Linked DNA regions of Xenopus tropicalis. The protein of the gene in region 1 interacts with the protein of each later gene in a pairwise test. Links are inferred from orthologs where the notes say so. Each region holds a gene or a part of one and is shown in the gene's direction. Other genes may lie near its edges.

Region 1 (10,426 bases):
CGGAATCAGCCCCCACGAAGAGCGCGGGTGAGAGGCTCTACAATTGCGTATTTCTTGTAATGGTTGTGGCCTCTGGGCCTCAGTTGATACATTTGTTCTCTCTGTAGATAATCTTCCAATTAGCCCGGCAAAACCCTCTCTGACCACCCTTAAAAAGGACGAGTTTAACTTTGGGGAGGAGACCGATGATCTTATGGATGCTCTTGGATTTGATAACAGCCCTGAAAGAACCCGAGTAAAGGAAAGGTGAGAGTGTGTGCCAAGTTTCTTCCCTCAGCTGGCCGTCGTCAGAAACTGTTGCCTTCTACTGGCAAATACAATGTCAGCTTTGTGCCAAGGGAAAAGAGTGTGCAAAGCTGGTCATACATATACTGATTATATATATATATGTCTTAATGTCCTATATATATTGATAATGGGTGAGTGCAGAGGATCTCTTGTTGTTGTCTATATGTATTTTGTGGTCACAACCTCATTGCACCCCCGCCTAATGGTTTAAAATTTAGTGGTTGAGCACAACTTTCCCCTTTTTTGCTATAGTTTATACAGGAGCAGTGGCCAGCTCCTTGTTGTAGCTCCCACCCTTCCCAGCTACAGTCAGGTGATCCCAATGGGCCAATAAAAGGGCAACCATATGGGGGTTTTAACCTTGAAACCAAGTAAGTTGCAGGTAAAACTTAGTCCCTTGGCTAAACATATATTGAAGCAGTAGAATTCTTGGTGAATCGCATAGGTCAGTGTAGGACTGGCCAGAAGGGATGACTTTGACGTAGTTGGCCAGCTTGAAGTATATTGCAATGTATGGACAAACAATCCCTGTTTTGTTTAAAGGGGAGGGCATTTCTTAGTAGCTGAAATGCACCAAATGTCTTAATGTCCTATATATATTGATAAAGGGTGAGTGCAGAGGATCTCTTGTTGTTGTCTATATATATATATATATATATATATATATATATATAAAGCTTGGTGCATTTTACGGTACATGTATGTGTCTGCCATTCCTGTGCAGTTATATGTATTATAGATATTAGTTGGTTTAGCAATTGGGTCGGTTTATCAATTGATGCCCCATATCTTCCAATGTATGGTGCACCTTCAAATGAGTAAGTTGCGGCTTTTCTGTCAATTTGGCCTACAGGATGATCAGATTGATAGCTTATGGGCTCGGCCTGTGTATAGGCTGCTATAAGAAGGGAAGTAACACACTAAATTGTCTTCCTTCCCTTTAGGGCAATATTAATAGAATAAATCCTGCTTATTATGTAAAAGGCTATTCAATTTTTAGGTGAATAACTGCCATGTACTCAAGCTGCCTGTTCTATGTGATCTTGCTTTTCCCTAGCTCTGCCCCGCCTCCTGCGCGTTCCAAGCTGGATGAGCTCCTTGGTAGAGGGACTGCAGCCAAACTTCTGGAAAGACCACCCACTGGGGAGCGAAAAGAATTTAAACTTGATCCTAAATACCAGAAACAGCAAGGTGAGTGTAGGGTGTCAAAACTTCCTAAAACTTTTTTAAAGTTAGTTCTAAGTTACAGTTCAGAAGGGCCACAGAAAGTAATGACTAGAGTCAAAGTGCAAACTGATAACCGGGTCTCCTTCCTTCGCTAGAGAACCAGAACACACCAGACGATGCGGATATTAACTTTGGTTCGTACCAACCTACTGTCAACAGTCCTGAGGGGCGACCGTCTCGCAGGCCATCTGTCAGGTATCACGCTAGTTCAGTTATTTCTTTTCCTAGTCAGCTGTGGCTTGGAAAGGACAGGGGTTTGTTTATCAAGAGGGCTTGTAATTCCTAATTATATTTCCTAATTAAAAAAAAAAGGCAAAAATTAGGTTCAGCACAAGGTCTATTCATTCACTGCTACTAAATAAGGGGGTGTTCTACCCCTTTAATGTCTCCAGCATGTGAGTGTCCAAGTGGACTGCACCACTTTTTTTTAATATCATCCTTTCAATCAAACAGATTCTCTGCAGATGGCAGCGACAATTTCAAATCGGAAGGAAGGTCTCGCTCCAGCACCCCAGCAACTAGGAGTCCAGCCAGAGGAGAGAGGGGTGGGGCGGACTGGCTGGGCTTGAAAGACGATGACATTGATGTTCCTGATTTTACACCTTCATTACCTGTCAGGGACCCACCCCGGTCTGCAGGTGTTACACCAAGTTCAGCCGGACGTCCCACCTCTGGAAATAAAATTGCGGACAAGCCTATTAACCAAACGAGAAGTGGGCTCCAGGAAGCAGCCTCGGTAGCACAGGAGGATGATGGGTGGCTGACCTCTGCCCTTTCACAAAAAAAGGCACAAAAACAGGAAATGGAGGAAAAAAGCAAAAGCCAAGCCAGACAGGAAGATGTTACAGGGAGCAGGTAAGAGCAGTGGTGGCTTATGGACGATTATTGCATGTATAGGAAACATTCTGCTGCTAGAGAGAGAGACAGCTGTTTATAGGCAGATACGTGTGGGACAACAAGGGGTTATGGAGAAGGAGCAGAAAGGCTTGGGCCGATAAATTATATGATAATGTGATATAAATGGAAGCAAGTATTTATGGTCTATAAAATTAGCCATACATGCCCAGATCTGGCCAGGCACTTTGGCAAATTTCAACCTTCTGGGCATGTATGACCAGTCCCGGAGGCATTTAGACTGATTATCCAACAATCCTTTTGGATCAAAGATGATCGGTCCTGATAAAAAGTCTATCAGCCAGACAGGAAAAAGAGAAGGGCTGTAATTCTACCGTTCCTCTTCATTTCTTGCTCTTCTGATCTTTCAGGTGGTCTGCTTGTACTAATGGAACAGTACAAAGGCAGCCATACACCCTAATACAGTATCTGTCTGTAGGTGGACTGGTCTGATATATTCCTGGTTGGCCCATCAATGGCCACCTCTAGGGCCATTCTTCCATGTGAATGTAATATTTTCCATGTGTATGTATCACATATTCATTGCACCTCTTCTTTCCAGCCCTGCAGTCTTCTCACAAACCAGCTCACAGGAGTCCGCTGTTAATAAAGGCACAAGAGAGACTGGTATGGTAGTTGCTGAGGTATCTGGGTAAGTATATATATATATATATATATATATAGTAGATAGCAGAGTGACGGCACTCACAGGATTTTATGCATCAAAAATAACAAAATAATAGTATTCAAATAGTGAGGTTTATTGATCCTACGTTTCGGTTCCCCACTGGAACCTTCGTCAGGCCTGCATGACGAGCATGTCACTTTACAGCAATAGGCTGAGACGCCCTTTAGCCACTAGCTGTCACTCACTGTAACAGTGCAGTAATACACAACCAAACATGGATCACGTTGTGTCATGACTCTTTACTAAAAAAGGTTAAACTTGTGGGGATTGGAAAACATTTTTACTGAATATGCTGACATGCTCTGACAGGTCCTGGTTTATGTCCTTACAGGTCTCCCAAAAAAGTCTCTACGTTTGTGGCTCCCAAACAAGAAGAAACCATTCAGACAGGTGATTATTTCCCAAACAACTCATTTTGTCCAGGATCAAAATTTTATAGCAGAACAGACAAATCTTTGGCCATCACCATAGCTGCTGAGAGTTGCTGTTCTGCATCAGTGGGTTTGTCTGACGTTGCAAATCCCTATTTTATTGTATTATTTATTCATTTCTGACATCATATTGGTTTCTCTTTATTACAGCAGTTACCGGCCCGTCTCAAGAGCACGGCACAGCCAGAACTTTGGTTAGTTATCATAAATGAAACTCTCCAGTCCTGCTCACGTCATTGTACGCTCAGCTGGGAATTGTATAGGGAAGGCTGTATCCTTCCTCCTCCATAAAGGAGTGTAAACTACAGAACGTACCTGTCCTACTCAGGCATCCCTGCTATCTGCACTGATACACATTATTCTCCTGCTCCTGTATTTCTTGGTTTGGGACTGAACCATTTAACTGTTTAGCTGAGGTAGTAGAGCCCAGTTAGACAACTTGCACACAGTGAGTTATTTACAGTTTGGGAATGTAATAATAGTACTGCTTTGGTATAAGAACTGCCTCGATGGGATAGAAATATTACTTCACTTGCAAAGGGACGTATTGCATGATAGCTTCTTAATCATAAATAGAATGAAACTGGTTTGTGCGAGGCAAAATAAGCAATGCAGTGTATCAGTATCAGTTTTAAAAAAACAACATTTATCCTGCCACATCAGTACTGTCTCTATGTTATATCTATGTTTTTGTTATTCCCCACAGCCCTATTGTACTTAATTTTAGCTGCTGTTTACACTCCCATTGCTTTCTCAGCAGCAGACGGTGGTCTCGCGGCCATTAGAGAGAAAAGCACGAGATGGGGATAGAGATCTTCACGGGGATCCCCTGCAGGCACAGAATCGAGTGATGGATCTAGAGGCACAGGTACTAGAGTAGGAGACTACAGAGATGAGTCGATTTCTTTATACCTCCATACATGGGATTGTCCCTAGAACTCACTGCATAATATTCCAGTGGTAAACCAAGCTAACCATATCTCCTTCAGGTCAGGAAGCTCCAGCTAGAGAGGGACCAACAGAACCTGCTGCTGGAGACCCTGCGAGAAAGACATCAGGAGGATATGGAGCTGATAGAGAATGCACATCGGTACCGCAACCCATTTAACTTACAAACCCAGTTGCCCGTTACCCAGATTCCATAAATATAGAAATAGATACTTATAAAGCTACAGTGTGTATGTAGGGATAAATAAATCCCAATATCCCATGTATATACACATTGGCACCCAGTGCCTAGTTCTTCCCTACGCAGAAGTAGGTTATATTTTATGTCACGCATTTAATTGCTTCCTACTCAGGAGCCGCCTGAAACTAGTGGAAGACTCTGCCCGTCAAAGAGAGGAGCGACTGCGCCTTGAGAACCAGGAGTTGTCCGCCCAGTACCTATCTCGGTGCCAGAGCACGGAAACCGAGAAAGCCGAACTGCTGGCGCAGTATCAGAAGAAACTGACTGAATTCCAGCAGGAGAAGGAGCTGGAACTGGAGAGAATTCGGGAACTGCAGAGGTGAGGTTGGAGTTGAGCTGCCTCCCAGTGCGCTCCCTGTCTCTTCCGGGCAGTCGTATACATGGTTATCTCTCCCTTTTGCAGGGTGTTTGTCCAGGAGATGTGCAGAGACCATGAGGAGCAGCTGCAGAGACTCAAGCGGCTAAAGGACCAAGAGATCGATGCAGTGACGAGTGCTTCCTCCCACACAAGGTATAACTATAACTCACCTGCTATAACAAACTGTTAGTAGTGCCATACCCATAACAGAGTTGGCAGGAGGTGGTAGTCTTCTTAGTGCTTTTGACTGCTTTCCTGCTTGTTTCTTTTCCTGGGAACTAATAACTTTCTGCTTTTCACCGACGCTTCCTACGACTCTGCGCCTCTTCAGATCCCTGAACACCGTTATTGAACAAATGGAGTCGTTCTCCCACAAGCTGAGTGACCTGTCCCACAGAGTAGAGAGCACTCAGCAGACAACTTCCCATGAGCTGGAGACAGGAGCACGCCAGAGAGAAGGGCAGCTCAGAGGTACGGGCACACTATGCTGAACAGCTGTATGTGCTGATATGGTGCTTCCCAAGGGAACACATGGTAGGGCATTGGTACATTTATATAGCACCTTATGAATGCCATCTTCATCCAGCACTGCAGGAGCAACTGAGCCGCCAGCAGAAAGACATGGAGCAAGAACGAAACAGTCTCCGTATGGTGATAACCAACATGGAGACACGGTTAATTGAGCAAAGCCGTCTCCTAGAACAGGTGAGAACGAACCAATGAACCCCACCTTTGAGTTTAAGCTGGAAGTTCCACTGAAGGAGAAACTAACGAGTATTATTGGCCCTTCTTGCAACAGGAACGATGGCGGGTCACCTCAGAACAAGCCAAGGTGGAGTCATTGCAGCGCTCACTGGAGGAGCAGAGGAGGGTCGTGACACAGCAAATGGCAATAGAAAGAGAGGAGCTGGAAAGGGCAAAGGTTAGTGGACTCCTGACCAGCCTGAAGGTTTGAACGATGAAGAACGTCCTGCCGAGAACTTTGTTCTTCCACTGCTCTTTGTTATCCCGTCAGAGCGGTCTGTTGAGAATACTATGGCTTACATGGGAAGACATGCATATATACAGAGTTATTTGATTGGCTTAGGTTGAAAGCCACACGTGGGCTTCATATTCCCAGCAGACTACATGGATTGATTTCATTCAGGACCTGTTTAAGACAAGTTTTGAGTGTGAGGGTGAAAATAAGATGCAGTTTACATGTCAACATTCTCTTTAAAGGAGAAAGAAAGGTAAAAACTCAGTAAGCTTTATCAGAAAGGTCTATGTAAATACAGCCATAAGCACTCACTGAAACGCTGCACTGAGTCCTCTGTCAAAAGATTTATTGTGTCTGTAATTCCTCTGCCAGAGACACGCAGCTTTCTGCTCCCTCCCCTCTCCTGCTCCCCCTTCCCTCAAAAATGCTAAGAACTCACTCCCCCCCTTAGGAATGTGGATCTGAGCCAATCAGCAGGAAGCTTCTTCATAGTCTTACTAACTGAGCATGTACACCGGTCCTGCTGTTGGTGCAGGAGTGAGGCATTATGGGAACTTTCTTTACACAGCTCAGCGCTTTTTCTTCCTGTTTGGCTTCAGATCATCTGAACGGGAGAAATATGGGGAGACTTAAGGGCACTATTGAGACAACTGAAGGTATGCCTGCAGCTTGAGATTAACTCTTTATTAGCCTTTCCTTCTCCTTTAAAGGAAAAGGAAAGGTAAAATCAAAAGCCTAACATTTTTGTACCCCCCAGTGATTGTACCTTTCCTTCTCCTTTAATACAATACTTGTGTAACAGGGCTCGCGGCTCCCTGCAGGCTGTGCCTTATGGCCTTTGACTAGTGCCCTGTTTCTTAACCTTGAGCCCCCCCGAAGCTGCTGGACTTCATCCAGCCAGGACTAGTAAGTTGCTACTCAGGTTAAATCCCCCTGATAAAATGCTTTTTATCAACCAGTATTGGACTCATTTGCTGACAAAGTCCAGCCGACTGTATAAACTAATCAGCCATCACTTGGCATATATATAATATAGCCTTTCCATTAACTGTACACCGTAAACTCCATGTACCCTATAAATGCCAGCAAGATAGGGTGTTTGCGGGATTATTATAAATGATTTAGGAGATGTATGGTATAGCCACAGTCTGTTTATATATCCCTGCCAGTGAGACACACGCACGGCAGTTGGAGGCATAACTACATTGTCTGTTGCCAGGCTACCGTAATATATCTTTATAGGAGTCCAAGTTGGAATTTACTATCGACAAGTTTTTCCTTCACTTGCAGAGCGCTCTCCTGGAGGAACAGCAGTCTGTCATGTCTCGGTGCACAGAAGAGCGTCGAAAGCTGGCGGCAGAATGGTCCGATTTTCATACCCAGCAAAAACTGAGCAAGGAGCGAGCAGAGAAAGAAGCAAACAGGGTCATTGTGGCAGAAACTCAGAGGGAGGGCGCCATCATAAATCTGGCCAAGGTACATGTGATCTCAGTGATCCCCAATCAGTGGCTCTGGGGCAACATGTTGCTCCCCAACCCCTTGGATGTTGCTCTCAGTGCCCCCAAACCAGGGACTAATTTTTGAATTTCTGACTTGGGGGCAAGTTTTGGTTGAATAAAAATAAGATTTATTACCAAATAAAGGTCCCCATACACGCGGCTGATAGTAGCTGCCGATATGGGTCCCATAGACATATTCGGCAGCTAATCGGCCTGTGTCTAGGCACTACCATCGGGCCTGCCCGACCGATATCTGGCCTGAAATCGGGCAGATCTCGATCGGGCAGGTTAAAAAATCTAGTCGGATCGGGGACCGCATCGGCTCATTGATGTGGTCCCTGGACTAACTTTTCCTATACCCGTCATTATAATTCGATCAAATTAGCCTGGATTCTCCCGATATCGCCCACCCATAGGTGGGGATATCAGGAGAAGATCCGCTCGCTTGGCGACATCTCCAAGCGAGTGGATATGAAGGTGTATGGGAACCTTAGAGCGCCTGTAAGCTGATAGGGTGCATAGAGGCTGCCTAATAGCCAATCACAGCCCTTATTTGGCTCCTCCATGAACTTTTATGGTGCTTGTGTTGTTCCCCAAGTCTTTTTACATTTGACTGTGGCTCACGAGTAAGAAAGGTTGGGGGGCCTTGCTGTAACGGGACAGACTCCATGTTAGTTCCGCCAAGACCTGTTTAGAGTGATATGACCTCTATTCTTACCAGTGCCTGAAAAGTATTCTAATATCTACAACTGCCCCTTTGCTCTGAACTCTTGCTCTCCACACCCAAGCTTCTCTCTCTGCTCTTTTGCCCTCCCCCCATGTTTCCTTTCATATAAACCTCTCTACTGCTATGCTTCCCCCAGGAGCAGGCAGAGTTAAAGATCAAGGCTAGTGAGCTGCTCAACAAAGAGGAGCAGCTGTTTTTGGCCAGAGAGGCCATGGAAAAGGAAAGACAAGACCTCCGCCTGGAAAAGGAAAGGGTTAATGCATCTGCTCTGCGGGTGCGACAGCGTGCGGAGGAAATAGAGAGCATGAGCAAGGTAATATATTCCCACTCACATGTTTCCATTCTAGTCCTTCCATTACCCGGTTTTCACTAACCAAATGCTAATGCAAGGGTAACACTGACATCTTGTGGTAGATTGGTGCATAGCAGTTTAAAGAACAAGACTTTATTTTCCCAGTTGGCATCACAACGTTATGAGGAGGGAGAGAAAGCTCTAGAAGAGGCATGCAAGATAGAATCCGAGCACCAGGGCCGTTTAAGGGCAATTCAGCAGAAACTGGAAATTCTGCGACAACAGGAGGAACATATACATCAGGTGAGGAGCCTCTGTGGCAAATCAGGTTCAGTTACAAGGGAGGGGAACATACAGCGACCCCAAGAACGTCTGGGTTTTTAATAAGTTGTCAGGGGCGTAACTTCCGCAAAGTAAATGCATTTTTAACCAGAACTACTCTGTTCCACAGGAACGTCTGAGTCTGGCACAGCAGAGACGCCAGTTAAACCAACTTCAGCAAGAGCTTCCCACTGCCAGTGTTCTATTCCCTGCCAGACCCCCAGAGCCCCCCCTGATGGCACAGAATGGGAAGTTCACTGCAAAAGGTACAGTATTTTCTGTGGCCATAGTAATTGGTGGCTTCTGTGCCAGCGAAGTCTGTATAATTATTGTATATATATATAATATAAACACAAACAATCACTTATCTTTAACATAACCTGCTGAGTGCAGTGCTAGTTACTACTACTGAGTGATACTCCCTGTATAACTCAGCCTTGTGCCTTTATATGGGCACAGAACCCCTCAGTGACTGCTAATATCCTTATCATTTACAGTAGGGGGTACATTATCCCTTATAATACATGAGTGATACTCAGAGTTCCCTGTATAACTCAGCCTGCAGCCTTGTGCCTTTATATGGGCACAGAGCCCCTCAGTGACTGCTAATATCCTTATCATTTACAGTAGGGGGTACATTATCCCTTATAATACATGAGTGATACTCAGAGTTCCCTGTATAACTCAGCCAGCAGCCTGTGCCTTTATATGGGGGGCACAGAACCCCCTCAGTGACTGCTAATATCCTTATCATTTACAGTAGGGGGTACATTATCCCTTATAATACATGAGTGATACTCAGAGTTCCCTGTATAACTCAGCCTGCAGCCTTGTGCCTTTATATGGGCACAGAACCCCTCAGTGACTGCTAATATCCTTATCATTTACAGTAGGGGGTACATTTTCCCTTATAATACATGAGTGATACTCAGAGTTCCCTGTATAACTCAGCCTGCAGCCTTGTGCCTTTATATGGGCACAGAACCCCTCAGTGACTGCTAATATCCTTATCATTTACAGTAGGGGGTACATTATCCCTTATAATACACGAGTGATACTCAGAGTTCCCTGTATAACTCAGCCTGCAGCCTTGTGCCTTTATATGGGGGGCACAGAACCCCTCAGTGACTGCTAATATCCTTATCATTTACAGTAGGGGGTACATTATCCCTTATAATACATGAGTGATACTCAGAGTTCCCTGTATAACTCAGCCTGCAGCCTTGTGCCTTTATATGGGCACAGAACCCCTCAGTGACTGCTAATATCCTTATCATTTACAGTAGGGGGTACATTATCCCTTATAATACATGAGTGATACTCAGAGTTCCCTATATAACTCAGCCTGCAGCCTTGATATGGAACTCCTTTATAATATCCTTATACCTTACTAAAGGGGGAATAGTATTTCCTGTATATCTGTATTGTGCTGTACCTGTGCTTTATTAATCATTATTTCCTTCCAGCTATTGGGATCCCAGCAGCGCTGCAGGAAACCAGCAAACCACAAGTAACAGAGTTCCATGCCAAATT
Region 2 (10,946 bases), on another chromosome or scaffold:
TTCAGAAACATTATTTCAGTAAATAGAAGTGTCACACTGAATGTGACACAAACATTCAGTAGATCTGTAAGGTTGTAGGCTCTATGGGGCAGGAATATCCTTCGTCTTATCTTTACATTAAGCCAACTTGAATGTAAAGGTGGCCATATATACTGTGCGAAGTTGGACGAAGTCGCCAAACAAGCGAACCATCTCTCAATATGCCCATTGGGCCAAATGATCAAATTAAAATGGCAGGTATATGGGTGGTCGGATCAAGGACCACACCAACGAGCTCAATTTTAGGCCAGATACTGGTCGGATAGGCCCATCAGGGGTGCCCATACAAATCGGTCTGAAGGACACAAATCGGCTGCTGAAATGTGCCTGAGTATGGCCACCTTAAGTTGTCTTTGTAACTATTTTATTGACCTTGTTTGTTCTGTTAATATTTAGATCCAATTCTCTGACGAAAAAATGCAAACCAAATAAAACACTTACTTACAAAGGGCCTAAAGTTGACCTTAAATTGAATGATATAGCCATGAACAGAATTACCAAACCATTTAAACAGTAGTAGATCTGGGCAGCTGATGGCTTCCCCTGAAGTACAAAAAAGATCAATGGACAACCTACAACCTACATCCTGCAAGTCAAAAATGTGAAAAGAGCAATCTCACTATTGGTTATTCACGTGTGACCAAAAAGCACATGATCCTGTTTTATGTGTGACCATACAGCACAAAATCTTGTTCAGCTAGCATGTGGTCTGTATAACCCTTCCAAATAAAGGATCTGCGACTCTACAGATGTGTCTTTAGTTAGAAAAAGATAATAGCACAGGGACTTTTAGGGCTCTGGCACACGGGGAGATTAGTCACCCGCGACAAATCTCCCTTGTCACGGGCGACTAATCTCCTCGAACTACCATCCCACCGGCGAAAATGTAAGTCGCCGGTGGGATGGCAAATCGCCTGCGCAGCGTGTGCTATCCCACCGGCGAGCCCTTAAGCAGTGTGCTGCCCTCCAAATTAAAATGCATTTCCCTACAAGCACTCCTGTTTCATTCTGGAGAGTGAGAAATGTGTGTGCTGTGCTACGGTGCACTGTATTGTCGCTGAGGGATATCAAAAGAATTGGTAAAGTCAGCATTTCAGAGCTCGGAGACATGCTACGTGGCATTCATCACAATGAGAAGCAGCTGCCAACACAGAATGTGTTCTGTATAGGACTGCTGTGAGCAAGTGGAAAGAATAACATACACTGACACAATTATCAGGAAATACACTTAGTGCAACTGATCAGTTGTGTACTTGTTCAGCACAAAAGTGAATCCACCAGTCTATAACCATCATCAACTTTTCTGGACCGTATACAAATCTCTATTTAGAGGACTAAACCCCTACAAATAAGAGGTAGCTCAATCCCTGCTCTAAAGCAATAAAAGGAAATCAATTCCCTTGCCAGTACCACTTTTTCTGCACTTGTTGGACAATGTCCTGGGTGCTAGCTCAGTCCCAGCTACAAAGGAGTCATTCAAAAGAAGCGTTCACTAAATCAGATTTTAATCTAAAGACTTTTTTGCATATTACAAGAAAATGGGATTTTCAGTTCCTTTCCAGGTTGCTTCTGCAACATTGTTTTAGGAACTAGAAGTACAGGTATGGGACCTTATCCGGAAACCCATTATCCAGAAAGCTCCGAATTACGGAACGGCTGTCTCCCATAGACTCCATTTTAATCAAATATTTGCACATCACTTTCGTACAACTGTTGTATGGCAATTATTATTGTCAGAACATCCTCTGATTTGTTATTTTTAGGACTCCCAAAATTTCAAGCTGAATGTTAGTTTTAAATCGTTGTATTAAAACATACGATCGACATGCGAATGTTCATCGAAAAGAAGACTAAAATTTTAACTTGTATGGCCAACTTTACTGCTGGCAGCTTTTATATGTTTTTATCATTACAGGAAATTGTTCTTTATTTATAAAGCACCAATATATTCTGCAGTGCTGTGCTTTTGTATTGCCTTATAGAACAGTTTAAATTCCCTAACCAGCTGATAAGACAGCACAGAAAATATACTATAATAATGATTTAAACACTGGTGGAACATTTCATGAGGGAGGCAGCATGATTGTATAGGTTATTACCCCTATGCAGGTGAAAATTCTCAAAATAACCCTTTGGTGCAACATGCACACTAAATAAACTGCAGGAAACAAGTGGAAAGAAACATTCCTTTGGCTTGAAAATAAATCATACCTTAGTTACAAAATAGGCAGCTCTAGGACTGCTACTACAGCCAGCCTATTCATTTTGGAACAGGTGCCACTTCTTCAGACGATAGGGGTGAAGCGCTGTAAGCAATATAGAAGAGGTTATTACTTAACTAAGATGTTTTACACAATTGCAACATGCAAACACAAACATTTATCATGAAGAATTAAATCTTTTTTTAATAATTAAATTAATACATAATGCTTTAAGGTCTAACTATGTGTTTAAATAAGAGCAAAAACCTAAGTAGAAATCTGAAGACAAAAGTAACGCTCTAGTGCCCGAGGGTCATATAGCAAGGCTTGTTGTTCGTGGAAGAATATCCAGAACAGAGGATTTTTTTGTGAAAGATCTACAGATAGTGCACCTGTAAGGCGGATGCAGCCCACTGGCCACCAGATGGACAGCCCTGCCTAAACCTAATGTTTAATCACAGTCATAAGTCATATAATGACTGCCTTTCTTCTGGTAGAACTTTGTAACACTAGGTTTTCTTATTGGAAGCTACTATTACTTTTAGAAAGTCAGCAACTGGCTCAAGAGAACCGTCTTCCTGAACAGCCTAAGCAATAAACCAATACCTTTTAATACGTCATTGCCAAAAGTAGACTGCTAGTACTAACCCCAGATATGTGGGGTTTTGCCCCTTGAAAGAGGGCAAGCCTACAGTAACTGAAACTCTGTGCAATTAAGTGATATAGCTGCCTAACAACAAATTAAAAGGCATTGTAATGTATTATTATCATGTGTTTATAAAGTGCCAACATATTCTAAAGCACTGCACAAGGAATGGGTGTATATATTAAACAAATAGATTTTTCAACAAAATCAACCAATACAAGAGGTAAAAAGGGCCCTGTTCAGTGTTGCCTTTTCTACTGCTTGAAAGAAGCCCACAACATGCTACCTTACAGCTTGATAACTAAAAATATAATTTGTGTATATAAAGTCTTTAAAGCATAAAAGACAGGCTAGCACCTAATTTCCTTATGGAACATTAAGGAACCACATTTGTCAAATATCCTTAGGGACAGCTGTGATTGTAAAGATGTTAAAAATTCTCTTGATGAGATGTATCAAAAGATGATAGATAGATAGATAGATAGATAGATAGATAGATAGATAGATACTCTTACAAGAAGAGAAGTATGAATGAAATCACCCAGATGTACATTACGCAGCTTTCTGGAAAAAGTAAGGATGCTTCTTAAAGATAAAAAGGACAAAATATACCATCAAAACAAAATATGTACACTAAATGCAGATAAAAGTGTTCAGTAACATTGGAGCGTGCTAATCAAGATCAGTGTGTGTCATGTGCATAAATAAATATATATACAAAACATGTCTAGTCTAGGGCCATCCAGCGCTAATGACAGTGCAGGAGGGCAGCAGATGGCACATGTTATGTACTTTATGGTTAGATCTAAAGGCAGGGAGTGTGTGATGAAAGCTGCTAGATTCTTTTTGCTATGAGTGCATATATTTGCTTAATAACAGTAGATGATACACACATTAAGCACAGTGCTGATGGCACAGCAGATGAGCAACAGCTGGCAAGCCTCAGCTCAGTAGCACTAAGAGAAGCTATGCCAAATATGTACAATATAGTGAATAATAAACGTTAAGCAATGCTGTTTTATATAAGCCTTCTCCTGCCCCCTCTAAAGTATTTGGGGGCTTCTTCATCCACACTCACCTGTTTCTCGAGTGTTAGTCACGGCTTTGAAAACCCTTTCGCATCCAGGAACCTGACGCAGCTAAAACATACTCCCCACTCTCTATAATCACAACACTGTACAGACACCACTTAGGTACCGCCCACATTAGCATGAATCGGTCCTTCCGTTCTAGTCCGGAAAGCGGAAATTGTTGTGTGCGTTCCACTGCGTTCCACTGCGTTGCACATGGGAACCGAGAGCAAGGAGAGAGGGCATGCATAGTAGAGTGAGATAGAATGTAACAGATTACCGTGCTACTGAATGTATGCTGATACAATGGAAAGTAAGTTGCTTTGGAAGTTTGGTAAAACTGCAGACTTTTGCCAATTCAGGTTGCAGAGTGACTATTACGGGCGTGAGTGGAACATCGAATCTAGACGTTTTAAAAAAGGAAGGTTTCTTTCGGGGCAGGTATAGCTGAAGGGTGACTGCCAAATAGCACCCACGTTTGTATAATATAAGTGGTTGTAATAGTAATGGGCTACTGTGGGTGACTTTTTGTAGAATTTTGAATTTAGAATGTAATATAAATAAGCCATTGTCCATTTGCTATGATTTTTAAGGGCATTGTCCCTTACCTATGCCTTACTGTGTCCAATGATGTCTTCTGAACTGGTCCACTAGGGAAGAGGGGATATCTGGAGGGCCTGACTTTTGTTTACCCTATATCAGCGTTTTTCAACCACTGTTCGAGATGTTGCCTGGTGTGCCGTAGGCAGGGCACCAATGTACTAGGGGGGCACTGCTCTTGGCACCAATGTACTAGGGGGGCACTGCTCTTGGCACCAATGTACTAGGGGGCACTGCTGCTGGGCACCAATGTACTAGGGGGGCACTGCTCTTGGCACCAATGTACTAGGGGGGCACTGCTGCTGGGCACCAATGTACTAGGGGGGCACTGCTCTTGGCACCAATGTACTAGGGGGGCACTGCTCTTGGCACCAATGTACTAGGGGGCACTGCTGCTGGGCACCAATGTACTAGGGGGGCACTGCTCTTGGCACCAATGTACTAGGGGGGCACTGCTGCTGGGCACCAATGTACTAGGGGGGCACTGCTCTTGGCACCAATGTACTAGGGGGGCACTGCTGCTGGGCACCAATGTACTAGGGGGGCACTGCTGCTGGGCACAGAGTTAAATTTTTTAACATTTTCTAATGGTGGTGTGCCTCGTGATTTTTTTCATGAAACAAGTGTGCCTTTGCCCAAAAAAGGTTGAAAAACACTGCCCTATATCATTAATACTTACAGACATCTATATTGTGGGGTCTGAGGATTTAATACTTAGTTCATAGCTTTCTAAAGAATTCTGAAATCCTCACTACCAGTGTGTATAAATAAACTTAGCAGGGCCAGTCATTACCCATCTGCTGGACCATAATGCTGCTTTGTGGATATGCAGAAAATTTACACACTGAAGGCTTCCCAGGTTTGTATTAACGTCACTTCCAGTTTTATCCACAACCTGATCCACTACACAGCAAAACAAAGATGCAGGTCTGGGCAGTTAAAATGTGCGTCTAATTGGACAGGATTGTACTACAGAGACCTTATCCGCACACCCTAGCGCTCCAAAATTATATGCCCGGTGCACACTGCTGGAGGGATCGGCACCCTCCAAAACCAGTACAACCACAAAAAAAGCAAATGGCACTCAGGGCTACAAACAAGGGAAAACCCTTAAAAAGTTTATTGCGGAGGTGCACCTCCGCAATAAACTTTTTAAGGGTTTTCCCTTGTTTGTAGCCCTGAGTGCCATTTGCTTTTTTTGTGGTTCTAATTGGACAGGGCCATAGAGGGCCATATCAAATGTATCAGTCCCAGTGATAGCTTGATCAGTGCATGAAATTAAAAATTATAATGTATTTTTGATTTGCCGCAATTCAAACAAGAGACGCAATACAAAAATCTGAATTTGCTCAAACCTATTCATTCAAATTTTGAGACAGACTGTGGTTGTGCCCATAGTTCAACTTTATTAGGGATTTAGTTTGCCTGAATTTTTCAGGCTGTTAGGATAAGGCAGTAAAACGATATTAGAAACCTATTACCTGTGAGAATATTCTGAAATTATTCAGTCACATTCACAATTAGTTCTAAAACAGCAAAGGGATTCTTTAGGTTAGATATGGTGTGCCTTTTGCTTTGGATTTCTGTACCACCTTAACACAGTGAAAGTTTTTGCCTTCTAGAATGCTTCCAGTTCTTCCTGTTTTGATTATATATATCACATGCACTTTACTGCTATCAGTTACTTGAGCTTAGGGTCTCAATTACAATATACAGTAAATACATTTACTTGATGAGACACGTTTGTAATTCATTCAAATTCACATCAGAGTTGTCCAACAACATGCAATCTTGTGAGAGGACAGTCAACACCAGTGCCAGATAGAAACCCTTAATGCAACCTAATTAAAATCTTTGTGTGCAATGATGCCCAAATAGACATTGTACAGTGCCAACCAACAATAAAATTAAAATATTCAATAGAGATATTATCATAATCCAGTATGGACGGTAGAGGATAATACTCGCCAAACTGGAGAGCCCCAATGTGAAATAAATATAGTTACATATTTTACAAAAAGCAATGATATTCAGTCTGTTCATTGAGGCCTTTAGGTGATACCTTATTCAGTCTGTATGTCCATCTGGCTTTGTGTTACAGAATTATTCTTTCTCTGTCATCATTCCACTTAGGTCTTGGAACATGTTCTAATATTTGAACTCTCAACTGAGATGAATTATGATTTTTTTTCTTTAAAGTGTCTAATGTGTCAAATAATATCCTTAATTTTATAATAATATTGACAATAGGTTTGGACACATGCTATATTATCTTTTACTTCTATCTTGATTTTGAAGCAATGATCCTCTGTCCAAATCCAATAATTTATTTTCTGCTTTCTATAGTATATTTCTTGGGTAGCCCCTGTCAATAAATATTTGTTTAATATCATTAATTGTTTCTGGTAACACTTCATGATTACTAATTATCCATTTAACCCTAGCCATTTGACTGAATGGAATAGAACGTACCTGAGCTTTTGGATGAAAACTCCTGGCTTGGAGAGAACTATTGGTCTCCAGTGTTTTTTGGTATAAGTCAGTTTGAATACTGGTTTCTATTTTCCGTCTCTTTACATCCAAAAACTCCATCTCTGTAGAGGAGGTATATTTGAATATATAATATATATATATATATATACAGGGTTGGATTAACAGCACAGGTGTGCTGTTAATCCAACCCTGTATATCTACACTTCCTGTACGGGCACCCAGGTATGATCTCTTTCTTATGGTGTGCAGCTTTCCAGCAACCTGCATCTATGTATATGTATGTATATATATATATATATATATATATGTATGTATATGTATGGCAGCTATCCAGGTAGTCTACAAAACTGTTCCTGTGAGCCAACACAGAGCATAAGACAATTGACTATGTAGCGCCACCACCAGTGTATAAATTCAGTGAAGGCACGTTGTACATAGAAGTGTTGATCTTCAAAGTAGTGATAGAAAAAATTGCTACAGGTTGTAGGATAGAATCAACTCCTGCCGTACCTTTGGTAAAATATATACACTGCTCAAAAAAATAAAGGGAACACTTAAACAACACAGTGTAACTCCAAGTCAATCACACTTCTGTGAAATCAAACTGTCCACTTAGGTAGCAACACTGATTGACAATCAATTTCACATGCTGTTGTGCAAATGGAATAGACAACAGGTGGAAATTATAGGCAATTAGTAAGACATCCCCAATAAAGGAGTGGTTCTGCAGTTGGTGACCAAAGATCACTTCTCAGTTCCTATGCTTTCTGGCTGATGTTTTGGTAACTTTTGAATGCTGGTGGTGCTTTTACTCTAGTGGTAGGATGAGACGGAGTCTACAACCCACACAAATGGCTCAGGTAGTGCAGCTCATCCAGGATGGCACATCAATGTGAGCTATGGCAAGGTTTGCTGTGTCAGTCAGCGTAGTGTCCAGAGCATGGAGGCGCTACCAGGAGACAGGCCAGTACATCAGTAGACGTGGAGGAGGCTGTAGGAGGGCAACAACCCAGCAGCAGGACTGCTACCTCCACCTTTGTGCAAGGAGGAACAGGAGGAGCACTGCCAGAGCCCTGCAAAATGACCTCCAGCGGGCCACAAATGTGCATGTGTCTGCTCAAACGGTCAGAAGCAGACTCCATGAGGGTGGAATGAGGGCCCGACGTCCACAGGTGGGGTTGTGCTTACAGCCCAACACCATGCAGGACGTTTGACATTTGCCAGAGAACACCAAGATTGGCAAATTCGCCACTGGCGCCCTTGTGCTCTTCACAGATGAAAGCAGGTTCACACTGAGCACATGTGACAGACGTGACAGTCTGGAGATGCTGTGGAGAACGTTCTGCTGCCTGCAACATCCTCCAGCATGACCGGTTTGGCAGTGGGTCAGTAATGGTGTGGGGTGGCATTTCTTTGGGGGCCCCACAGCCCTCCATGTGCTCGCCAGAGGTAGCCTGACTGCCATTAGGTACTGAGATGAGATCCTCAGACCCCTTGTGAGACCATATGCTGGTGCGGTTGGCCCTGGGTTCCTTCTAATGCAAGACAATGCTAGACCTCATATGGCTGGAGTGTGGCAGCAGTTCCTGCAAGACGAAGGGATTGATGCTATGGACTGGCCCAGCCCTTCCCCAGACCTGAATCCAATTGAGCACATCTGGGACATCATGTCTCGCTCCATCCACCAACACCACGTTGCACCACAGACTGTCCAGGAGTTGGTGGATGCTTTAGTCCAGGTCTGGGAGGAGATCCCTCAGGAGACCATCCGCCACCTAAGAAGCATGCCCAGGCATTGTAGGAAGGTCATTCAGGCACGTGGAGGCCACACACACTACTGAGCCTCATTTTGACTTGTTTTAAGGACATTACATCAAAGTTGGATCAGCCTGTAGTGTTTTTTTCCACTTTAATTTTGAGTGTAACTCCAAATCCATTGATGATTTCCATTGATAATTTGTGATTTTGTTGTCAGCACATTCAACTATGTAAAAAACAAAGTATTTAATAAGAATATTTCATTCATTCAGATCTAGGATGTGTTGTGTTCCCTTTATTTTTTTTGAGCAGTGTATATTACAGGTGTCACAGGGTACTCGTTAATCACCTGTCATTTGTACTTTACTCGAGGTACATAAAGACCTTGTATGTCTGTCGGGTGCATGCGGAAACATTTGAACATGGATTAACACAAACCTTTTTAAATCAATTAATGGTACATTCCCATGTAGAAACTGTGCTCAAAGTAATGGCATGATTAAAGCACATGGTGTGATGCATCCAAGTACAGGCAAGGCCATCCAAATCTCGGCCTACTACTCTTTGTTGTGTACTGTCTCAAATTCCCATGTGGCCTTGGCTATGTTGGCAAAACTATGCAGTGTGCCAAGGAAAGGACAGCAAAATACAAGACATTACATTGGATAAAAACAGCTCAGTGGCTAGACAGTTTAAAGAAAAAAATCACAACTCATCTCAGTTGAGGGATGGTAACAGAGAAAGAATACTTTTTTAGCAGATGGATATACAGACTGAATATCATGGTTTTTATAAAATATGTAACTAGAGGTGTTGTAGAAATACCTATCCACATTGGGGCTCTCCAGTTTATCCTCTGTCGTACCTTTTGAAATCGAAGTGAGGTGATCTCTTATTTTTAGAAACATGATATATATGAAATGTTTTCTTTTTTATGTAATTAGTTAGGCACATATGCTGTGCAGTTCCTTAAAAAGAATTTTTCCTATGTAAAAATTTAACACAAATTAAAAAATATACAGGTATAGGATCCGTTATCCGGAAACCCGTTATCCAGAAAGGCCATCTCCCATAGACTCCATTATAAGCAAATAATTCTAATTTTTAAACTGATTTCCTTTTTCACTAATAATAAAACAGTACCTTGTTCTTGATCCCAACTAATATATAAATAATCCTTATTGGAGGCAAAACAATCCTATTGGGTTTATTTAATCTTTAAATTACTTTCTAGTAAATTTAAAGTATGGAGATCCAAATTACAGAAAGATCTCTTACCCCGGGTCCCATACCTGTATTTATTTCTCTTTTAGGAGTTAAATAAATCACATTACTTATCGGAATGCATCTTTTGAAAACTGGACTGTGATACTAAATCTGATATTTAAGATGGCCACCACGTTCACAGCTTGGTTGGTACTGTACAATGTCTGTTTGGGCATATTGATGTCACCCACATCATTGCGCACACAGATTTTCATTAGGGTGCATTGAGTGTTTCCATCTGGCACTACTGTCACCTGTCCTCTCACAAGATTGTATGACGTCAAACTCTAACACGCAGCCTGGAGTATGTTGGGTACCGGCAATGAATCATGTGCACTTGTGATAAAGTGTGCATGAAGCACTTGAAACATTTGGCTTTTGTGTGCACTCCATAATAAATACTTTTGAAGGTATTATTTATTTATTTTTTACACCAGTTGATATCGCTTGTGTGCATCCTCTTTTTGTCCTTCTATTGTTACTTGCACATTTTGAGCCTGGCACTTTCTGAGAGGTTGCACCAATGGATTCAAATCTTTACTGAAACAAGGGGAACCGTTATTGTATGAAATGTTTGTTTGTTATGGAAGGTAGATTGGTGTTAACATCTGTCTCCCTTTACAGGTAAAAGTCCTGGATATGTAACACCAAAAAAGCCAGCTTTATCAGCTAGTGCAAGAAAAATCAAAGACAATGCAGCAGACTGGCATAATCTGATGCTTAAATGGGAGACATATAATAATGATTCATTTACTATAGCAAGCAAGATTGTTAATCTAAAAATAATTACTGAGTAAGTATTTGTGTGTGCCTAAGAGGTGTTTCACCTGCTGTCAACATGTGCGGTCTCGCAGGTTCAAGTAATGAAGTTCT
Region 3 (10,376 bases), on another chromosome or scaffold:
TGCATCTGCAGAAGCGGCATTTGGTCGCAAAGTTTTGCAGTCAGTAGTACTGTAAGAGTTATATTAGTTATTCTGTTTTCTTTCCCACCCTATCAAGGGACGTCTTTGGTATGTCCCCATGGTCCCTGTGTCCCCCAGGACGTATGAGAAAAAGGGATTTCTTTACTTACCGTAAAATCCTTTTCTCTCTAGTCCTATGGGGGACACAGGGACCATGGGGTTAAATCCCCTCCCATCAGGAGGCAGGACACTTCAAAACAAAGATCTTCCCCCCTATATAACCCCCCTTCCACCAACAGATACTCCAGTTGTTTCAAAGAACCGAGCAAACTATTCCAACTGATAACTTAACTCGTAACATAACTGGCTGAGTAGAAGGAGCTACCTCCCATTGTTTTCTGGGAGGGAGGCCCTGTGTCCCCCATAGGACTAGAGAGAAAAGGATTTTACGGTAAGTAAAGAAATCCCTTTATATGTATTCTGCCTCCATAAGAAGCTGTACTTTACTATGTATGCTGTTTGCTTTTGGCAGCGTCTCATAGAGGAAGAGAACATGTTGGCCCCATCCCTCAAACAGTTTTCACTGAGGGCGGAAATGCTGCCATCCTATATTCCAGTGAGGGTTGCAGAGAAGATACTGTTTGTGGGTGAATCTGTTCAGATGTTTGAGAATCAAAATGCAAATATGTCTAGGACAGGTAAGAGAGACAATACGGAGCCTGGCTGTTTTTATTTCCTTAAATTGTGTTCAGCTGTCTTTTCTATAGGCCTAGGAAATAAAATCTCCCAGTTTGGCAAGCAAGATGTCCCTTTCTAGTTTGCAGCATAGAACCTATATAGCACATCGCACATATATATATGTAACTAGTCCTTGGATGAAAGTTGTAAAGGAGCCAGTTATGTGTTACGTAAGTCATTACAGGGCAAATGTACATGCTAGTGCTGGTAGTGTACAGATATAACATTTATGCAAGACTAAATATTTCCAGGTCGCTTGCTCATTTCTCTATTCATCCAAAGCTGTTCTCAACAGGTTCCATCTTAAAAAACCAGGAAGACACATTTGCAGCAGAGCTCCATCGGCTGAAGCAGCAGCCTCTCTTCAGTTTGGTGGATTTTGAATCTGTTCTTGACCGAATCAGAAGCACGGTAGCCGAGGTGAGCCTCTGCCAAATGTTAGGGTAACATCAGCACAGTAAATGTGTTCAGTAGCAGAATTACCCTGTAGAGATAGATCATTGCCATTGCCTGGAATTCAGGCCATCCTCTGGCTTGATGTACAGTAACTCTGTTAAACTGATGAAACACTTGTCTCCCTCATTTGCAGCCCAAGCATCCTTCATAGTTAGTTATTCTCTGCCCCCTGCCTTGTGAATGAGGGTTTGTATGAGTACTGTATCACTGGACCCCTTTGCAGCCTTTTTTTTTTTTTTGCTTTGTATAAGGAAGTTTCCCCACACAGAGAGGACCTAAACTACAATAGATTTAAGAGACTGGTGATTTATCATAGTAAATATTCACAATTATTTAAACATTTAATGTCCTGACTTATAAATAGGGAGTTACCTTCCGGTTATCTTAAGGTAAAACACTAAAATGTACTTTAAATGGGAGCTGCTAGGCAGTTAGTTCCTGAAGAAATGAGACCTAGTGCGTTTGTACCTGGATCTTATATTCCAAGGGCCACTGGGATAATGGGAGAGTGTTATATAATATGCTGGCACTGTATTAATGAAGAATATTACTATTAGTGTGACATGCAAGCTTAAAGTGAATGGCGGGGCGGTGCTGAGTCAGGCATTGGAGAGGAAATACAGGATAACTTTAGTGACAAGCTAAACTAAGAAATTTCATGTGTGTGACCTAGAAAGCAGATTATGGTATATTTAACAGACAAATTGTGTGTGGTTTATAAAATAGTGACCATTGATCATTTGCCAGAGACTCCATGATTTTGCCTCCAAACAGCTATATGATGTATTTTAAACAAGTTATATCTGCTTTTTGCTCATGAGCTTCAGTGAGTCGTGTGTCTCCTCAATAGAAGTACCAAACTTCTAAGGTAGAGTTACAGCGCCCCCATCTGTGATTATTTATATAGTCTAGGGATAGATGGAAACACATCTCCTCACTACTCCTTTCAGCTCAGAGCTCAATCTACAGACATCCTGAAGGTCCTTCTCAGACTCTCAGTGTCTGTTAGGAGGCAGTCATTGCCAAACCAATAAGAGCTCATACCCACAAGTGGATTTTTCCACATGTATCTTCTGCTGTGGCTAAGACGTGAAGTCAGTGGTGATACATATAATATAATAATTCTTAGTTCTTGTTGGGGGAAGGAGGTATTCCCTGTCAGAAGGACTGCTTACAGATTTAGCAGGATATACCACTAATAATATTTTATACAAAAATAAAGAATATGTATTGCTGTGTTCAGTGTACAAGGTACTGCAGAGATGGTCAGTACAGTTTTAAATGCATAAAATAGTAGCACAGGCAGATGTTAAATGCTGTCATTAAACCCTACTAAAAAATTACAAAAATGAAGATCTATTTTTAACCACAGTTTCTGGAGAAAACCACTCCTTCCTGCACAAGAACAGAGGTTTTTACTGGCTTTGATGTTAATGCAGAGACAGATATACCAGAACTATATGGCCTTAGCCTGCAATTGCATACCTTACAAAAACATCACACTGTGGTACTGGAATGGCTTAAGGAGCCACAATACATCCTTTTTTCTTTTACTTTTATATTGATAATCTTTGTTGAAGCTTTTTTTGAGAAATACTAATAAAGCGCAATTATTTTGCCTATACTTCTAGCACTTGTGGAAGCTTATGGTGGAGGAATCGGACCTACTGGGTCAGCTCAAGGTAAGGACTGACAATAACATTGACCTTTCCCTGCTCTACTCGCCTTCCATTGCCCTCTCATATAATGCTATATATGCAGCTGTGGGCTTGGTCAGTTTCAGAGCCACTGGAGCCTTGTACTTATTACTGTTTGAAGGCAAATGATAGCTCCTGGGCTCCCAGCTGCAGCTTGCACCCAATGCGCCCAATCCCCATCTTATTCTTCTGATATTCAAATCCCTAATACTTATGTTTTGTTTATAATCCCTGGCCATCAGGTAGCACATGTTTTAGCCATTCAGTCTCATATATACGCTTTTTCAGTGCCAAATATAATGTGCTAAGTTTACTGTTGGCAAGAACAGTTTGCAAATTTATCTTATTAGCCTTTCACTAACACTGAAATTTCTCTTTTCAGATTATTAAAGATTTCTATTTACTGGGGAGAGGAGAATTGTTTCAGGCCTTCATAGATATTGCCCAAAATATGCTGAAAACTCCACCTACTGCAGTAACTGAACATGGTGAGTGCTTCCACAGTATATTAGTGTCTTCAACCATAGCCAGAGATGCTGGGAGCTTGTTATTTAGCAAGAGCTATTTACTGCCTGGTATATAGTCACTTGTACTCAATACATTGGCTTAACCATAATTAAAAGCTTTTATTTATATTATTTTAAGCACACCTGCATTGGTACACATACTGTTCCGCAGCCAAGTTTTAGGCTAGGTGCGCCTGAGCTCCTGTTGCAAAAACTTCATATTGCCTTTTTAAAAATGTTTCAGTGGATCCCTTACCCACACAACCACCATTTTTATCTGACACTGGGAAGATTAGCCATGCTTCCTGATTAGACCAATGACAGTGCACATTGGGACACACAGCTAATCTGCTTAGCAACAAAAAAAGATTCTTACAAAAAAAGCAATGACAAATCTGTAATTTATGGGATACATTCTTATTAAAGAGTTTGATTGTACCAGATGATGTAATACAAGTATGGGATGCCTTATCCACAAACCCGTTATCCAGAAAGCTCCAAATTATGAATAGGCCATATCCCACAGAGTACATTTTAAGCAAATAATTCTAATTTTTATAAACGATCTCCTCTTTTTTTCACAGTACAGTACCTTGTACCTGAGGGTAACTATGGTGCATGAATCCATATTTTTATTATTATAGAATAATTTTTAGCAGACTTAAGGTATGGTGATGACAATTATGCAGAGATCTCTTATATGGAAAAGCCCAAGTTCCAAGCACTGCCTATACGTGGATTATTAGCAGCACGTATTGATCTTGCCTTGAACGCATTACTTGCCCTTTCTTTCCAACAGATATAAATGTAGCCTTCCAGTTATCTGCACATAAAGTTTTACTTGATGATGACAATCTCCTGCCGCTGCTAAATCTGACAATCGATTACCATGGAAAAGAACATAAAGGTAGGGCTGTCTCTGAACTCTGCATTTACCTGATATAGTTTTCATAAATCATTGAAAATCAGTTGGGATTTGACAAAATAATCTGTTAACATACTTCGAAATGTACCATGGCCTGAAAACAGTGTGCCAAGCCATAGAAACATTAAGGCCCTGTAAGCCATGGTGACTGAAGTTGCTGCTGCTGCTGCTGCTGCTGCTTACAGAGAACAGTTTTACCCGAGGTTTGTGCTAAGATCATTTCTCTTCCCTCTAGATATGTCCCAGCCCCGGGAAGGTCCATCTCGTGACACATCTCCCAGAGAACCTCCAATATCTGGATGGGCTGCACTTGGACTCTCCTATAAAGTGCAATGGCCCTTGCATATTCTCTTTACACCGGCAGTGCTGGAGAAGTGAGTAGAGCTGCATCTAATTGTCATTTGCACTGGTGCATATTTATATAACTTATGTATTAGATATCGTGTGTTTATTGAAACTGCTGAGTGTAAACATTATACAGGTATGGGACCTGTTATCCGCAATGCTCAGGTCCGGATAAGGTTCGGGCTCGGGTTTTTTGGATAAGGGGTCTTTCCGTAATTTGGATCTCCATACCTTAAGTCTACTGAAAAACTATTCAAACATTAAATAAACCCAATAGGAGTGTTTTGCCTCCAATAAGGATTAATTATATCTTAGTGGGGATTAAATACAAGGTACAGTTTTATTATTACAGAGAAAAAGAAAACATTTTAAAGAAATATTTGCTTATAATGGAGTCTATGGGAAATGGCCTTTCCGTAATTCGGAACTTTCTGGATAACGGGTTTCCAGATAACCAATCCCCATACCTGTACCCTCTGTTAGGTACAATGTGGTCTTCAAGTATTTGCTGAGTGTGCGCCGTGTGCAGTCAGAACTTCAGCACTGCTGGGCTCTTCAGATGCAGAGAAAACATTTGGAGTCTAATAAAACCGATGCTATCAAGTGGCGGTTACGTAACCACATGGCGTTTCTGGTTGATAATCTCCAGTATTACCTGCAGGTGAGGATGCGCCACATTGCTCACATATGCTTGTGCTATGAGCTTTTTCATTTTCAGCTAATGTACTGCATATATATTTATATGCAATGTTATTTCTATACTTTTCTACTTCGGAGGCTGCTGTACTTGCTGAGGCAGTAGCCTGGGAACATGGCAGCTAGGTCCCATCTGTATTCTCTTGCCATACACTCCTTCAGTCAAAACTGTGACCTAGGAAATCTATGGATCTGCACTATGTGATTGTTGCTTTAAGTGATAAGAATGATGAGACAGCTGCTTTCATTGTTGGATAAAGCCTCAGCACCAGTGACACCAGTGACATTTTCTGAGGCTTTTTGCTCCGAGTTTTCAGAATCTGTCAAAATGTTTTTTGCATAATGAAAGGAAATGTAGTTCTAAGCAAGTGTCTGACACACATTAATGTTCAGGGGTTTAGAAGGTATTTGTAAATGTAAGATCAGTTGAAAACAACAGCTTGTTCTCTGGTTCTGGTGAAACAATGCAGATTTCAGCTCTGCACCAGGTGTGTTATTCATCTGACTTCTGCTACATTGTTTCAAAAGTCAGAATCAGTTGTTTGTACATTGTCTCTTCGCCCCTTGCCCAGAAGTGTGCATCACTGATAAATGCATATGGCATTGCCATGTTTGTATGTTCATTTCTTAGGTGGATGTTTTGGAGTCTCAGTTCTCTCAACTCTTGCAACAAATTAACTCAACGCGGGATTTTGAGAGCATTCGCCTGGCGCATGACCACTTCCTAAGTAATCTGTTGGCACAGTCTTTCATTTTGCTCAAACCAGTAAGTGTACAAATGATGCAGGAAGGTACTTACTGCAGGGCTACAGTGAGCACATTTACTAAATCAGAAAGCTGTCATTTATTGCCGATATAAATCTCTTGCCCTTCCTTCCCCCCAGGTTTTCCACTGTTTAAATGAAATCTTAGATTTGTGTCACAGTTTTTGTTCATTAGTCAGCCAAAACCTGGGCCCCCTGGATGAACGCGGAGCTGGGCAGCTAGATATTCTTGTGAAGGTAGGTATGGCCTTTATACAGGTATGGCATCTATTATCCAGAATGCTTGGGACCTGTGGTTTTCCAGATAAGGGATATTTCTGTATTTTGGATCATAATGGCTACTGCCACACCAGGCTAATTCTCACCCTGTGCAGGCCCAAGCGCAAGCACAAGGAGCGGATTTTGGCCCAAAATTCGCAAGTATCCATTGTGGAGATAAAACTCGCTCCATAAACCTAAACCTGCCCCCAGGCTGAGGCAGTGGCTCCAGGTGCTGTCACAAGGGTAGGCCGAGGCAAGCATAGAGCGGGGCAGTAGCCAATGGCTACTAAAGATGCCACCAACATACATTGATGTAGCTGTGTTATCAGTACAACTACAGTTTCCTTTGATTTTATCTTTGTTTAGAAATTAAAAAAGGATTGTTTGTTTGAATAGGATACTCTAGGAAATGGCACTGAATGTATGTATGTATGTATAACTTTATTTATAAAGCGCCACAAGGGTACGCAGCGCTGTACAGTCTTACAGAATACAAAATTACACACAGGGAGGACAAGTGTTATAATAAATAAATACAATAAATACATATACGTGTATATATATATATATATATATATATATATATATATATATATATATAAGTGCCATGTGGTATGAGACACAGTAGGAAGGAGGTCCCTACCCCATAGAGCTTACAATCTAAGTGGTTGGGTAACATACAGGCACAAACTGGAAGGTATTTAAGAGTTTTGTGGATAATAAATTCCATAATTGTGCATTCACCTTGTTTCTATAAGGATAAAGGAGCCCTGGTTTGGATTTATTTCTTCTTTGTATCTGTTTACAGGGATTTAGTTGTCAGTCATCACTTCTATTCAGAATTCTCTCCAGTGTGAGGAATCATCAGATCAACCCAGACCTGGCCCAGCTCCTGCTCAGATTAGACTACAATAAATATTATACCCAAGCAGGAGGCACACTTGGAAGGTACGAATTTTGCATGTAGATAATTGCAAGACATTGACCCAATGCAAAGGAGCTTTGTCCCATATAATTTTAAGTTGTTGAGACAATGTTCCTTGATAAGTTAGAAACATACAAGAAATGTCCTTTGGCTAATCAGATCTTTTGGCAAATATCATTTGCTGTGATGAGTATGACTGTATATGTGCTCATTTCTTATGCAGACACACACCTTTAGGTATGGGCATGCACCTCTCATTAACACATCTTTCATTTGGACCATATATTTATAGAGGGATATGCCAAGGTGTATGGGATCCTGATGGAATTAAATATAGTGGCAAGGATGTCCATTACTGTACCTTCATGTTATGTTCTGAACAATTAGCTCAAAGTTATTTTTAATTGCTATAAGCAGTATTTTCAGCCCCCCTCTGCACTGCTGGCTCTGACTCTTGAACCAGCGGAAGCAGTCAGCTGTCCTCTAGCTGAGCTTCTATACAGGTCAGTTAATCAGCTTGCTGCTTTAGTAGCATAGGGTAGGGAAGACAATTCTGCTATCAATAGCAATTACATTTACTTTAAAATCTGACATTTTTTAATGAATTTATTGGAAAGTTACTCAGAATTCTATACAGTACAGTACTGTTCAGTATTGCACACTGGGGGCAGATTCCTAATGATCTATTGCTGCCACCTTGTGTTAGATTAAGAAAATGCAGGTACTGTCTGGGCAGGAATCATGCTTTTCTTTTGTATTTAAGCTTTGCAGGTGCATTGCCTTTCTTATTAGACTAATGTGGGTGGGTGCATGTTGTATGCAGGAATCAGTCATTAATGAAAAACAGTTTGCTTCTGTGAAGGTCTAAAACAATAGGCAATCCCTTTAAATTGATTTTTGTATTACATACATACAATCTAAAGGGATTGCCTGTTTAAGCTTTTACAGATGTAAATGGTTGTTGGTGGTTTTTGTATAACTACTCAGCATATTACCCCATCTCAGAAGAGGAATGTATTTTCCCCCTACAGTTTTGGCTTATGAAGATAACATTACAAGGCCAGCAACAGTGATCTTTAATCCCAGCACTCTGATCCAGTGAAGACAGACACCAAGATTTCGCAGTATTTGCTTTATTTCAGTACAACACAGGTGGAGCAAATTCTCTCATATTTACAGTGGTGAGGGATGATATAAACATGCACAACACAAGTGGGTGGAAATGGCCTGAAAAGAACATTCACAGCTTATTCATTGGCCCTTCCCCATTATATTGCACTTAATGTTTTGGGAGTTTTTTTCCTTCTTTAAACTAGAATGTGTGTCAGTGGATGTCCAACCTGCAGACCTTGTAACCACAGGAATTGCAAATATTCTGTATCACCATTCCAAGAGTATATGAGTTGAACCCATGTATAGATACATTGACGTGTTTTAATAGTATAAAAATAAGTGAACATTTTTTTACTCAAAAATGGGAATTTGGAGTTCAAGATCACAAACCAAATCTGGGATTTTGTTCACCCCTTATAGTTTAACTTCTCCTTTAATGCCCATGAAAGGGGCAGTATTTTTTTTTTTTTTTTTTTTTTAAACAAATGAAAAAACTGTAAAAAAAATAATTGGGAATAAATTCTTATCATTTCCTTGTATGCAATAAAAGCCTCTTCTTCCCTAACTGTTGCTCCTCCTCTATTTTATTCTGGGATTCAGCTGTCATATCTGTGCACAAGAGGGTTACTGGTGATGGCTTTCTGTGTGGTTGCAACTCCTGGCACTCGCCTGAGTAGCGCTCACAACCAGGCTTAGCAGAAATAAAGTAGTGAAACACATGGGCTTTTCTCTGCTGGCAGAACTCAAATTTGGGGCCCCCAATCACCATTTGTGTACACACAGGACTGTAATCCCCCAGTCATTGCGCACATGGAGTAGATTTTGACCAGAATCACACAAGTATGCATTTTCTGTCCAAATGCCATTGCATGTAACAGGCAGATCAGAGTTCTGCGCATGCACAAATGGAGATGGGGGAAGGGTCAGATAAGTTTTCTCCTCTGTTCCCCTTACATGGACAGGCAAAGGATTGTGCACAAGACAGCTGATTCCCAGGACACCCCATTCCTTCATGCTGCAGCCAGATGGGACAGCCCATACAGAAACAAAGGAAGTGAGCATGGGTGAGGGAGAATAGACTAACGCACAGAAACTTTAAAGGAATAAGGAAAATCATGCCACAATCATTTAGGGTTCATATAGAAAATGCCAAATACTGTTCATTGTAAAAGGATCACTCGGAATTCATGATCAGTAGGGCAAATGTCTTAGGTGCAGTTGTATTCACAAATATAATCCACTGTATAAAGTAGCAGCCTGCCCACACAGGAATATATTGCAGCTAAAAATGAACTGGTCTTTCCTGTATGTTCATGTAGCGTAAAAAAAGTAGTCCTGGAATGACAGGGCGACACTGCCCACTTGCCCAATCAGTAGAGACTGACAAATAAGCGCATTCCCTTATAGAGGGTGACAAAGCATAACATTTGTAAGCTTATTTATTCATTTTTGATTTTGTGAATTCCAGTTTATTTTTCTAAATTAAATAAACTCACATATCAAATGCTCACTATTTGAGTTTACAAATTTGAGTTTGAAAATATGGCTTGACTTTGCCTAGGAACTCCCATTAACTTCTATAGAAACTTGCAAGCTTTTAGTCTTGAATGGCAAATATTTACATTCAAGTTTTTTGCACTTAATAAATACCAGACATTCAAGTTTTTGAACCAAGTTTTTTTTAGTTGATAACTCTCCCCCCTTGAAGTATGTGGGTTAACCCCAACCTGGTAGTGAGGGGTAAACCCACATACCCAGATTTTCCCAATATATGTTTTACTAAAACTTAAATTTATGGATGATCTGTCCCTTTAAACATCTACCAAGAAGCAAACTGGATTATCCTGACATACCATCTGCAGACCAATGGGAATAGAGCTGGATAAAGGGGATGTACAGCCAATTTTATTTGTTACCTGCATTGACAGAAATGACTATAGTTTAGAAGCC

The links.
Region 2: the proteins of fbf1 (region 1) and cinp interact in binary tests that used the Homo sapiens proteins (3 or more experiments, as listed by UniProt). The two-hybrid records come from large-scale screens. The link is inferred for Xenopus tropicalis from reciprocal best matches to the Homo sapiens genes FBF1 and CINP.
Region 3: the proteins of fbf1 (region 1) and tubgcp4 interact in a two-hybrid assay, tested with the Homo sapiens proteins (2 studies listed by BioGRID and IntAct). The two-hybrid records come from large-scale screens. The link is inferred for Xenopus tropicalis from reciprocal best matches to the Homo sapiens genes FBF1 and TUBGCP4.

Annotation. Positions count from the first base shown.
Region 1 is NC_030686.2:44,886,459-44,896,884, reverse strand, and holds part of fbf1 (fas-binding factor 1), read left to right. Parts: coding exon 1-27; intron 28-107; coding exon 108-246; intron 247-1,345; coding exon 1,346-1,479; intron 1,480-1,610; coding exon 1,611-1,710; intron 1,711-1,968; coding exon 1,969-2,370; intron 2,371-2,971; coding exon 2,972-3,061; intron 3,062-3,428; coding exon 3,429-3,487; intron 3,488-3,678; coding exon 3,679-3,722; intron 3,723-4,285; coding exon 4,286-4,396; intron 4,397-4,517; coding exon 4,518-4,618; intron 4,619-4,829; coding exon 4,830-5,036; intron 5,037-5,120; coding exon 5,121-5,228; intron 5,229-5,406; coding exon 5,407-5,546; intron 5,547-5,661; coding exon 5,662-5,780; intron 5,781-5,874; coding exon 5,875-5,997; intron 5,998-7,344; coding exon 7,345-7,530; intron 7,531-8,416; coding exon 8,417-8,593; intron 8,594-8,737; coding exon 8,738-8,875; intron 8,876-9,023; coding exon 9,024-9,159; intron 9,160-10,359; coding exon 10,360-10,426. UniProt on the Homo sapiens protein: Keratin-binding protein required for epithelial cell polarization. Involved in apical junction complex (AJC) assembly via its interaction with PARD3. Required for ciliogenesis.
Region 2 is NC_030684.2:97,540,107-97,551,052, reverse strand, and holds the start of cinp (cyclin-dependent kinase 2-interacting protein), read left to right. Parts: upstream 1-4,143; 5' UTR 4,144-4,247; coding exon 4,248-4,269; intron 4,270-10,697; coding exon 10,698-10,866; intron 10,867-10,946. UniProt on the Homo sapiens protein: Component of the DNA replication complex, which interacts with two kinases, CDK2 and CDC7, thereby providing a functional and physical link between CDK2 and CDC7 during firing of the origins of replication.
Region 3 is NC_030679.2:107,047,980-107,058,355, forward strand, and holds the end of tubgcp4 (gamma-tubulin complex component 4), read left to right. Parts: intron 1-532; coding exon 533-698; intron 699-1,033; coding exon 1,034-1,158; intron 1,159-2,825; coding exon 2,826-2,876; intron 2,877-3,273; coding exon 3,274-3,379; intron 3,380-4,196; coding exon 4,197-4,304; intron 4,305-4,557; coding exon 4,558-4,696; intron 4,697-5,150; coding exon 5,151-5,328; intron 5,329-5,994; coding exon 5,995-6,129; intron 6,130-6,247; coding exon 6,248-6,364; intron 6,365-7,196; coding exon 7,197-7,336; intron 7,337-8,344; coding exon 8,345-8,357; 3' UTR 8,358-8,991; downstream 8,992-10,376. UniProt on the Homo sapiens protein: Component of the gamma-tubulin ring complex (gTuRC) which mediates microtubule nucleation.